Ovis aries: one gene and its partner. The protein of the gene in region 1 interacts with the protein of each later gene in a pairwise test. Links are inferred from orthologs where the notes say so. Each region holds a gene or a part of one and is shown on either strand. Other genes may lie near its edges.

Region 1 (4,567 bases):
GACAGTGCTCCTTCCAGAGGAGTGGGTTGCTGGGTACGCTGCAAAGTGGATGGCAGGTACATCTGGGAAGTGGTGGCTGTGTCTGAAGGTGCTGCTTCTGTGGGCTCAGGAAGCTGGGTGCTGTGAAGAGGTGCACCCGCCTGGTGGGTCACCACCCTAGGTTGAGCATGTCTACATTCTGAAGAAGCAAGAAGTGAGGAATCAGGGCTATGAGGTTACAAGGTGAAGAACTAGACAGAGGGCAGGGTAGTGGGTCAAGGAAAACACCAAGGGAACAGCTGAAGGCCAGGAAAGGAGGGTAGAGGGAAAATAGGGAGAGATGGAAGTGAGCAACTACAACATGGAACCCCTGGGGCAATCATGTCCTGGAAAGTCAGGACACCCAGGTTGGAACCCAGACTCTGCTACAAAGTAGCTGTGACCTTGCCCCTTGTTGCCTAACCTCTCTGGGGTTCATTTCTTTTAGCTGTAACTTAGGGATAATTTTATTAACAAAAGCCAGAGTAGCAAGGAAGAGTAGATGAAATCAGATAGGTGCTGGGACCTGGAAGAACACCTGGTGTCTTAATGGTTGTGTATTTATTTTAGGGGTAAAATACAACCAGCATATCAAATTTGTGACTTCACAGGTGTTCCTGCTTAGGACAAGTTGCCATTAAGTTTTTCAAAAGTAGCTGTATACACTTATTTATTCATTTCATTGTTTTAAAATTTCACTTCAAAGGAACAATAAAATACAGAACTCTCCTTAATAATATACATGGTGAAATGTCTGGGAATAAAGTATAGTCAAACCTGCAACTTACTTGGAAGTGTACAAAAAAGATATTAGGCAGATCAATGAGGGATAGAGGGATGCATAGATAGATGGGTGGGCAATAAAGCAAATATAGTTACAATGCCTTAAACTCGATATTATAAAATATAAAATATATTTGCTTTATTATGGATGTATATAAAATACATCAAATATAAAAATCAAACATAGAATTAGGTGGTGGTTATATGGATGTTCACTGGACAAATCTCTCAACTTTTGTACATGTCTTCAAATTTCCATAATAAAATTGTTCTTGTTGTTTAGTCATCAAGTAATGTCTGACTCTTTTGCAGCTCCATGGACTATAGCCCATAAGGCTCCTCTGTCCATGGGATTTCCCAGTCAAGAGTGACATCTTCTCCAGGGGATCCTTCCAACCCAAGGATAGAACCCACTATCTCCTCCACTGGCAGGTAGATTCTTTACCCCTGAGCCACTGGGGAAGCCGCCACCACAAAATACCCGAACATAAAAATAGTGCCTTGATTTCAAGAACAACATTAAGTAAATGCACAGTGATAGGAAGTATTGGCAAAAATCATGAAAGTGATGGTGAAGGGTTTATGGTAAAGAGGAACTTAAGTCAAAGTGTACTGAAGAAGAAAGGGCTGAGGCAAAGAAGGGTGTAAGGGGGCCGCACAGGAGCCCTGGGGACAGGGCCTAGGGAGGAGGGGGAAGCTCTCACCTCCGCTGTCAAAGCAGCGCATCAGTTCCTGAACCCAGCGGTCAGTGCTGCCTCCACACACAGTTCCGCGGGGTAGCTGGAACCTGAGGAACGACCTGGTTTCAGATGTGTCCCCACTCTCTGTCCCACCCCCGCTATTCTCAGCTCTCTCCTGGTTCCAAGGAAGTGAGGTCACTCCCGAGCTTCGGCAGTTTCTGCTGGGACTGGGAAATTCCAGGTAGGTGGGACAGGGGAAAAGGGAAACTGAAGGTGCAACGAATTAGGGCGAACGTGACCGGGAGGAATGGGGCAGGGGCTAGACGTCCTCCCAGAAGGAGATCGAGTTTGACCAGAGGATCCTGAAGGGCTGGGGGCGAGGGGCGCCGCGCAGCCCTCCCAGGGGTGGGTGGTGAGATTACCTGATGTAGGAAAAACAGCGCTGATATGCTGTCAGGTATTTTCGGAGATGACTCATTTCACTCTCGTTTGGAGGGGAACGGGAAGGGATTGTACGATTGCAGGGACACCTCCCAACCTTGCTGCCTTCGTTGCCATTGCCTGAGAGGGATGGAAGTGGCTCGCACAGGCCCCGGTTCAAGGGGCTCATGCAGCTGCTACTAAGACTTCAACCCACAGCCTCGCTACAGTGTCTCCCGTAGACCCCAGGATCTGAGCCCCGACCCCGGCTCGACCCACGCTTCACTCTCCCCAAATATGTCCATAATCACATCTGGACCCAGGTGTTCCCCAGCCCATCCCCAAGCCCAAGCAGCTGGCCCTCCCCCTGCCCCAGCTGCCTTGGGGACCCTGGCTCCTCACTTAACTCAACCCCGCGGCGCTAGTGCCTCCCGCCCGTTTCCTTCCCCGGATTCGGGGCTCCGGGCCTCTGACAAACCTGAAGGAGTGAGACAAGCTACAAACAGTAGGACCAAGAGTAACCGGGATGCCCGGCCCAGCATCGTCTCGGCCCGCCGCGTTCTGTCTGACTCCCCGACGTTCTCCGGAGCCTGACGACCAGCCGGTTTCTCAATGGCTTTCGCTTCCTTCTCCCGCTTCGCCTGTGATTCCGAGGGACACGGCGGTCGTCGGCGCTGGGGCCCGGCCGGCCGAGGCAGGTCGCGAGGGGGGCGGCGCGTCCCTCCCGGCGTCCTCACCGTCTCAAATCGACAGTGGGGTCAGTACCGTCGCAACCGCGTGATCGCAGGCTTGCGGGCGGCGGGGAAACTCCGGGAGGTGGAGTTTCTCCGCCAGCACCCCCGCACCCAGCCCAGAGCCTCGTCGAGGGATAACCAGGAATGACGGAAGAAGGCGAGAGAAAGCGAAAGGAAGCCCGAGGTGCACGGCTCGGCTGGATGGCAGCCCTGCCCCCTGGGCCGATTCGTCCGGCCCAGAGATGCCAGCACCGCCCGCCTGCCCTCCGCAGCTCAGTCTCTGTGACCTGCTCCTTAGAGAGGCTTTCACGTTTTGACCGGGCTCAGTCACGTGGGCGAAGCGACTGTCAGCACCAGTCCGCGCGCTCCGCCCGCGCAGACACTGACCCGGGCGCCTCCGCGCCGCACCAGACTTTGGGGCGTGGCCACCCGAGCAGCCGGCCACGGGCTCGGGCAGCCTGACGTCACACCGCACCCCGAGGTATTTACCTTCGAAAAGTGGTGGCGGCTGCAGGTACCGGAGTAGTGGAGCGGCCGGGGCGGGGCTAGGTGTACTGGGGTTCACCGCCAACCCTAACCCCGTCCAAGGCGAAGGGAGGCCCTGCCTCTGATGCCCTCTTCCCACACCCCACAGAAGAGTCCAGAACTCTTCCCCATAGGATTAACCCTCTCCCACTTCGATCCTCGATTTAATTCAACCCCTACGTTTGAGGGTTTGAGCCTCAGATTTGGAGCCCCAAATATTATCTCCCTCCTGACTACTCACTTTTAACCCTAATCACCCACTTTCAAGTCTGGCCCCCATTCTCATCCTGAACTCGCATCCTCAGCCCTAAAACCTCCTTTCTAGCTCCCAACATCCATCCATAGATTCCACCCTAAGGGACCCCTCCAACCCACACTGTCCCCGGTGCCTCTCCCTCACCATACATCCCTTCCTCTTCTCAGTCTGGCTCAGGCCCTGTGCCCCTGAAGACATGGAGTTTGTGTCTGGATACCGGGATGAATTCCTTGATTTTGCTGCCCTCCTCTTTGGCTGGTTCCACAAGTTTGTGGCAGAGCGCGGGGCTGTAGGGACCAGCCTTGAGGGTCGCTGGCGGCAGCTGGAGGCTCAGATCAGAAGGTTGCCCCAGGACCCGGCCCTTTGGGTGCTCCACGTCTTGCCCAACCGCAGTGTGGGCATCAGCCTGGGGCAAGGGGCAGAGCCAGGCCCTGGACCAGGCCTGGGGGCTGCCCGGCTGCTGGGAGATGAGCCCCCACTCCACCTGCGAGACCTAAGTCCCTATGTCAGCTTTGTCAGCCTGGAGGAAGGGGAGCAAGGAGAGGAGGAGGAGGAGGAGGAAGAAGAAGAGAATGGAAAGGAGGAGGGTGCCGGCACCAAAAAGGTAGAAACGGACGAGGATGGGGAGCCGGCCCCTGGCAGCAGGGAGCCCCCCCGGGAAGCCACCCCTCCAGGGGAGCCAGAGGATGCCCAGCAGGAGGCTGGAGGTGGCGAGGATGGCAAAGAAGACAGGGCAGAAGACGGGCCGGGGCCTGAGAGGAGGATGGGGCGGAGAGGCGGTAAGAACCCGGGACACCGCTGGCCCCCTCAGAGCGCAGTTAGGAGTCACACATGGGTGGGCCTCAGGCCAAGCTGGCCTGAAAAGGTGTTTTCATTGATCCACATTTTTTTTTAAGTTTCACCAGCATTTAAATAGTAAAAGAAAAAAACAATTCCAGAAGTCGAGAGTTAACACCTCAAGAAAAATGTGAAGTTCCCACAGCACACCCCCACATTTCTGCCTGGCAGCAAATGCTCGTTCTGTGGAGCCGCTGTCCCCTTCCAAAAAGGCCTGCCCTCTCTACCTAGTCTCCTCTCCTGGCCCCAGGAGTATCTGATTTGGTACCCTGCCCCTAACAATCTTCCCCCTCTACCCCCGACTTTTCCTGTCT
Region 2 (4,595 bases), on another chromosome or scaffold:
AGTAGCATTGGGCAGAGTGTAGTAAGCGGGCAGTGGCAGGTGATGGTTGGGGACCGTGTCAGGTACCAGCCCTTCATCTTCTGCTTCCCACAGTGGTGTGTTGAGGTCAGCAAAATTATGGTTAAGATCAATGCCCTGATGGTTCCAGCGGCCCTCTGCCCAGCCCACCAGCTCCGAGCCCTGCCAGGGAGAAAGTCTGTTCAAGCAAAGCAGGCTCCAGGCACCATGGCAGAAGGAGCAGACTGGCCCTCAGCCCAAGTGCCCTACCCGGCGGAAGGCAGTCTCGTAGCCGTCAGGATTCATGGAGGGCAGCAGGTGAATGCGCGTCTCGGTGAGCAGCCGGGTCACTCTCGGGTCCCCTCTCAGGAACTCACGACACAGGAACTGCATTAGAAGCAGGAGCAACTCCCGCCCCAAGGCCTCATTCCCATGCATGCCGGCCACATAGCGTACCTCAGGCTCTCCTGGGAACAAATAGGGGCTTGCAGCTGGCTCATGCACCTGCCCCTCCCTGCTGCTGTGCCCACCTCTTCCACCCCACCTGCCAGTACCCAGCTCATGCTCCCCGGGCTGGTCTGACATTTCCATCACATACAGCTTCAAGCCCTGGTGGCTCCTCCCGATGCTGTAGATGCGGGTGATGTTGGGGCATTGCTCGTTCACTTGCTTCATCAGCTGGGGGGTGAGTGTAGCATGGTGAGGGGCATGGGAGGAGCAGACCCAGGGCTCAGACCACACGAGGCCATAGAAGGACTTCAAAAGTTTGCGAGGGCCCATACGATGGGGACACCATTGGCGCAATACAGGAGGGGGCAGGAGCCAAGGAAGGAACGGTCAGAATAAGAGAGGCACCAAAGCAAGGGAAATCGTAGAAGTTTAGGGGTCAAAAAGAGGGTGAGATGGAGAGGGACACGAGGGCAATCATAGCAAGTTATGCCCTGGTGGGCAGGAGACCTGAGATGAGCAGATCCTCCCTCCTGGGTCATAGGGGTTACCTTCCTCATGGCTTTATAATCATGATGCCGGAAGTCTAGTGAGTCGGAGGATCCCAGCACGGGAACCTCAGGGAACGGACCATTGGGATCTGGTAGAGGATGAGTTCACAGTAAATGGTGAATTCCCAGGGGAGGGTGTGCCCTGCCCAACTAACCCTTGTCTTTCTCCCCACCTGAGACTGGGCAGGCCAGAATCTCTGCCCGGAGGCAAGATGCACCTCCCTGGAGCCAGGTCTGGGGCAGCAGGCGAATGAAACGGGCCACCTGGGGCTCAGGCAGGAGATTTAGCACTGGTGTCTCTGGATCCGAATTGGCAGGAAATACCTGAGGGCATCAAGTCCTTTGTAAGGGCCGCTTGAACCCCGGCAGCCTGGCTCAGGGCCCAGGAAGATGCTCAGGCCTGTGAGCTCACTGAAAAACCCACCCTAGTGGGCTCAGCTAGACACTTGCTCTCTGCGTCAAACACAGATTGCTGCCCACATCCTTTGCTAACAGGCAGCCCTAGGCAGTCATCCTTTCCAGTTTAGTCACAGCTCATTAGACCAATATGGCCATGTGACTCAGCAGTAGGCAATCCTGAAGCTGGCCAGGATCCCACACTGTAGCCTGAGGAGATGAGAAGTGATGCAAGGACTGAGGCCCATCGCCAGAAGGGGTGTTCCAGCAGGAAGCTGTGGCATGACGAAGTATTTGGGAAGGATGCGGGCATGGTCCAAAGCAACCTGGCTCCTGAGGCTGTCTGCTGGGTGCCACCCACCCTTTCTCCTGGGATGCCAAAGTGGGCACCTGTGTCTTGTCCTCAGAGGAGTCCAAGCCCAGCCCAGCACCCTACAGTGGGCCAGGAGCCCAGCTCCCAGCATAGAGGGCCCCAGCCACCATGGGACTTCTCACCGCATCCATCCCGCTGCTGCGATTCTTACTCCCCCACCAGGTCTGACTGTCATTGCTGAACTGGACTTTGTATGAAGTGACCCAGTCATACCTGGCAGGAAAGGTGGGTAGAGATCATGGGTGGCCCCCAAGCCTCCCACCCCAGTCCTCCTGAGTCTGCCCATAACTTTCCTGGCCTGGAGCTGTCCTGCCTCACCTCCAGATGGAGTTCCTGCCCTGTGTGATAATGCCCGAGAAGCGGGTGAGGTGTCCAGCATCCACCTGAAGCCATGGCTCAGCATCCTGCTGCTCGGCACACCAGGCCCCATCAAAAAGATCACCATCTTCCAGGCCTGACTGTGGGCACGGGACGCAGCAATCAGAACTGGGTAGGCCTTAAGGGAAGGTGGGAGGGGCAGGGAAGAAGGTCCTAGGGGTTGCCTTGCTGACCTGGATGTTGAGCCGTCCTCTGTGTGGTCCAAGACCAAAGGATTGGCTGCTAGATGCGTAGAGCTGGTTATCTGAAACTCGCAGGGACTCCAGGCCCAAAGGGGGACAGTCTGGGACAGGGACAAATCAGTAAGTTGGGACCAGAGAAACAGTGGTCAGAGCAGGTGGAAAGCTGAACCCAAGCTTGCCCGTGTGGCCAAGAGCTACATTAGTTCATGTCCCAGAGACTGCAAGTCTGGGCAAGGCCCTTGGAGTGGTGGTACCTGGTTCTTGCTTCTCAGTGAGGTCAAGGGTCCCTGTAGGGCTGGTGGTCACTGAAGGCCTGGCAGTCACTGGGGGTCTGGGGTGAGTTAGCTTCTTTCGCTTCTTCGTGACAATCTTTTTCTTCTTGATGACTCGAATCCGGACATGCTGTTCTGAAGTCCCTGGAGACCAAACAGGCAGAGCAGCAGGGAAGGAAAGGATGGCAGGAAACCTCAAATGGAGCGGTCTACCACCCCAAGAAAACCTGCAAGTCCACAGAAGGCCCCACCACACGTATCCAAGGACCTTAGCATGGACTTTAAGGCCCTCAGTCTGACCCCAACCTACTGTTCCAGCCACTTCCTTGATTCCTTCTCCCCTCTGGTGTGACTACTTGCTTGGCCCTCACCAATAGAGGGCTACACTGCCACCAGGAACTACTTGCTTGCTCCAAAGAGCTGAAGTTAGTTCTTTAACTCCTTCTTTTCCTGGCTGTCCCCTTCCCTATCGTATATCCATCACCTTTGACTTTCTTTTCGAATTCCCATTCTTTCTTCACATCTCAGTCCAGATGCATTTCGGGGAGCCTTCCTTAGCTCCAGGCTCAGTCTCATGCCCTCAAAGCCTCTGTGCCACTTCCATCACTGTGCTGAGAGGTCCTGTCCTCAAACTCATGTCTGTCCAGGTTTTCCAGCTTTCCAGACTTGGACCCCTGCCCTGCCTGCCCTTCAGTATAAAGCATTCATGGCACAGGGCAGATGCCACTGGTTCCCCACTGAGATCCACAGCTGCCCACCCCACCCCCCACACACACACTGCACATAACTGTGTCAGGGGTTGGTACCTTTGCACATACTGTTTCCCTCTTGGCTGCGCTCCTCTTCAGCTCTTCCTAATTCAGAGCTACCTTTCAGAACCAGTTCCACCTGCCTCTCCCAAGAAGCCCTCTGAGGCTGCCAATCCCCGTGCTTTCCTCCTCTCTCTTGCCACCTCTGAGAAGCTGAGAAGTCCGGCAGCCTTCCTGGTCCCCACCCCAGGCAGAGCCGCGTCCCTCCAGGGCACCTGGCAGAGAGCGCTTCCTCCCTTCCCCTGTTCTTTCCTTTCAACCGCTGGCTCAAGCCCACACAGTCTTGCTCTGCACCCTCCTCGGTGTCTTTGCACCTCTCTCTACCCTCCTCCTGGCTCTAGCCTCAGTTTCCCCATCCGAGAAACAAGAAAGTTTGGGGCTGGAAGAAGCAGCATCCCACTGGCTCCTGTCCCAGGACTGCTGACTTGGTCTGGCCGGGAACTAGGGCTGCTGAGTCAGCAGCCATTGTACCGCGCAGGGAGTGTGTGCGCGTGGGGCAGAGTCGCCACCCAGGCGCTAGGCAGAGTGCGGCGTGTGTGGCGTGTGTGAGGTGTGTGCGCGCGTGCTGGGGAGGGGTCGCCACACGGGGGTCGGAAGAGTGGGACAACCGATTAGCGGGAGAAGCGGGCCGTGGGTAGGACGGAAGCTCACCTTTCTCCTTCCCCGCGGACGGCTGAGCCGGGCTGCTACGGGGGGTCGGGACCGGGGCCTTGGTGGTCGCCAGGCCCAGCACGGAGGTGCTGGGCGCCCCTAGATCCACCTCGACGGCAGGCGCGAAGGCGGCCAAGGCGAGCAGGAGACCCCACATGGCGGGGTCCAGGGCGCGGACGCACTGGTCTCGCGGCGGCCGGTGGGCTCGCCTTTTCCTGCTGGGGCTCCGGAGCCCCCCGCCCCTTCCTGCCGCCGCTGCACGCCCGCCCACAGCCGGCTCGCTGGCCTCGGACCCGGGAGCCGAGGGGTTGGGAGGGGAGGGGAGGAAGAGAAGGGAGGAGCAAGGGGAGGGCCCAGGCTGGCCGCCCCGGGTCTCCGCACCCACCGACCCTGCCCTCATCTCCACTCCCCCCGCCCCTCCGCATCCGCCCTCGAGCTCCCGCCTCGCTCGGGCTCTGCCCTTTACCGTCGCAAAGGCCCCAGGCTCCCTGGATTCTACTCAGTCCTGTGAGCCCGTCCCGCAGTGGGCACCTACTGTG

Evidence for each region.
Region 2: the proteins of CXCL16 (region 1) and TMEM239 interact in a two-hybrid assay, tested with the Homo sapiens proteins (2 studies listed by BioGRID). The two-hybrid records come from large-scale screens. The link is inferred for Ovis aries from reciprocal best matches to the Homo sapiens genes CXCL16 and TMEM239.

What each region holds. Positions count from the first base shown.
Region 1 is NC_056064.1:26,494,809-26,499,375, reverse strand, and holds the start of CXCL16 (C-X-C motif chemokine 16), read right to left. Parts: upstream 2,951-4,567; 5' UTR 2,444-2,950; coding exon 2,380-2,443; intron 2,043-2,379; coding exon 1,904-2,042; intron 1,589-1,903; coding exon 1,506-1,588; intron 179-1,505; coding exon 1-178. Other genes in the region: ZMYND15 (zinc finger MYND domain-containing protein 15), read left to right, coding at 3,613-4,195. UniProt on the Homo sapiens protein: Acts as a scavenger receptor on macrophages, which specifically binds to OxLDL (oxidized low density lipoprotein), suggesting that it may be involved in pathophysiology such as atherogenesis. Induces a strong chemotactic response. Induces calcium mobilization.
Region 2 is NC_056066.1:52,098,457-52,103,051, reverse strand, and holds the start of TMEM239 (transmembrane protein 239), read left to right. Parts: upstream 1-1,750; 5' UTR 1,751-1,886; coding exon of another isoform or gene 1,887-1,977; 5' UTR 1,978-2,082; coding exon of another isoform or gene 2,083-2,222; 5' UTR 2,223-2,254; intron 2,255-2,315; coding exon of another isoform or gene 2,316-2,425; intron 2,426-2,578; coding exon of another isoform or gene 2,579-2,740; intron 2,741-4,056; coding exon of another isoform or gene 4,057-4,213; exon of another isoform or gene 4,214-4,276; intron 4,277-4,595. Other genes in the region: CPXM1 (probable carboxypeptidase X1), read right to left, coding at 1-180, 268-464, 552-675, 996-1,084, 1,169-1,319, 1,887-1,977, 2,083-2,222, 2,316-2,425 and 2 more.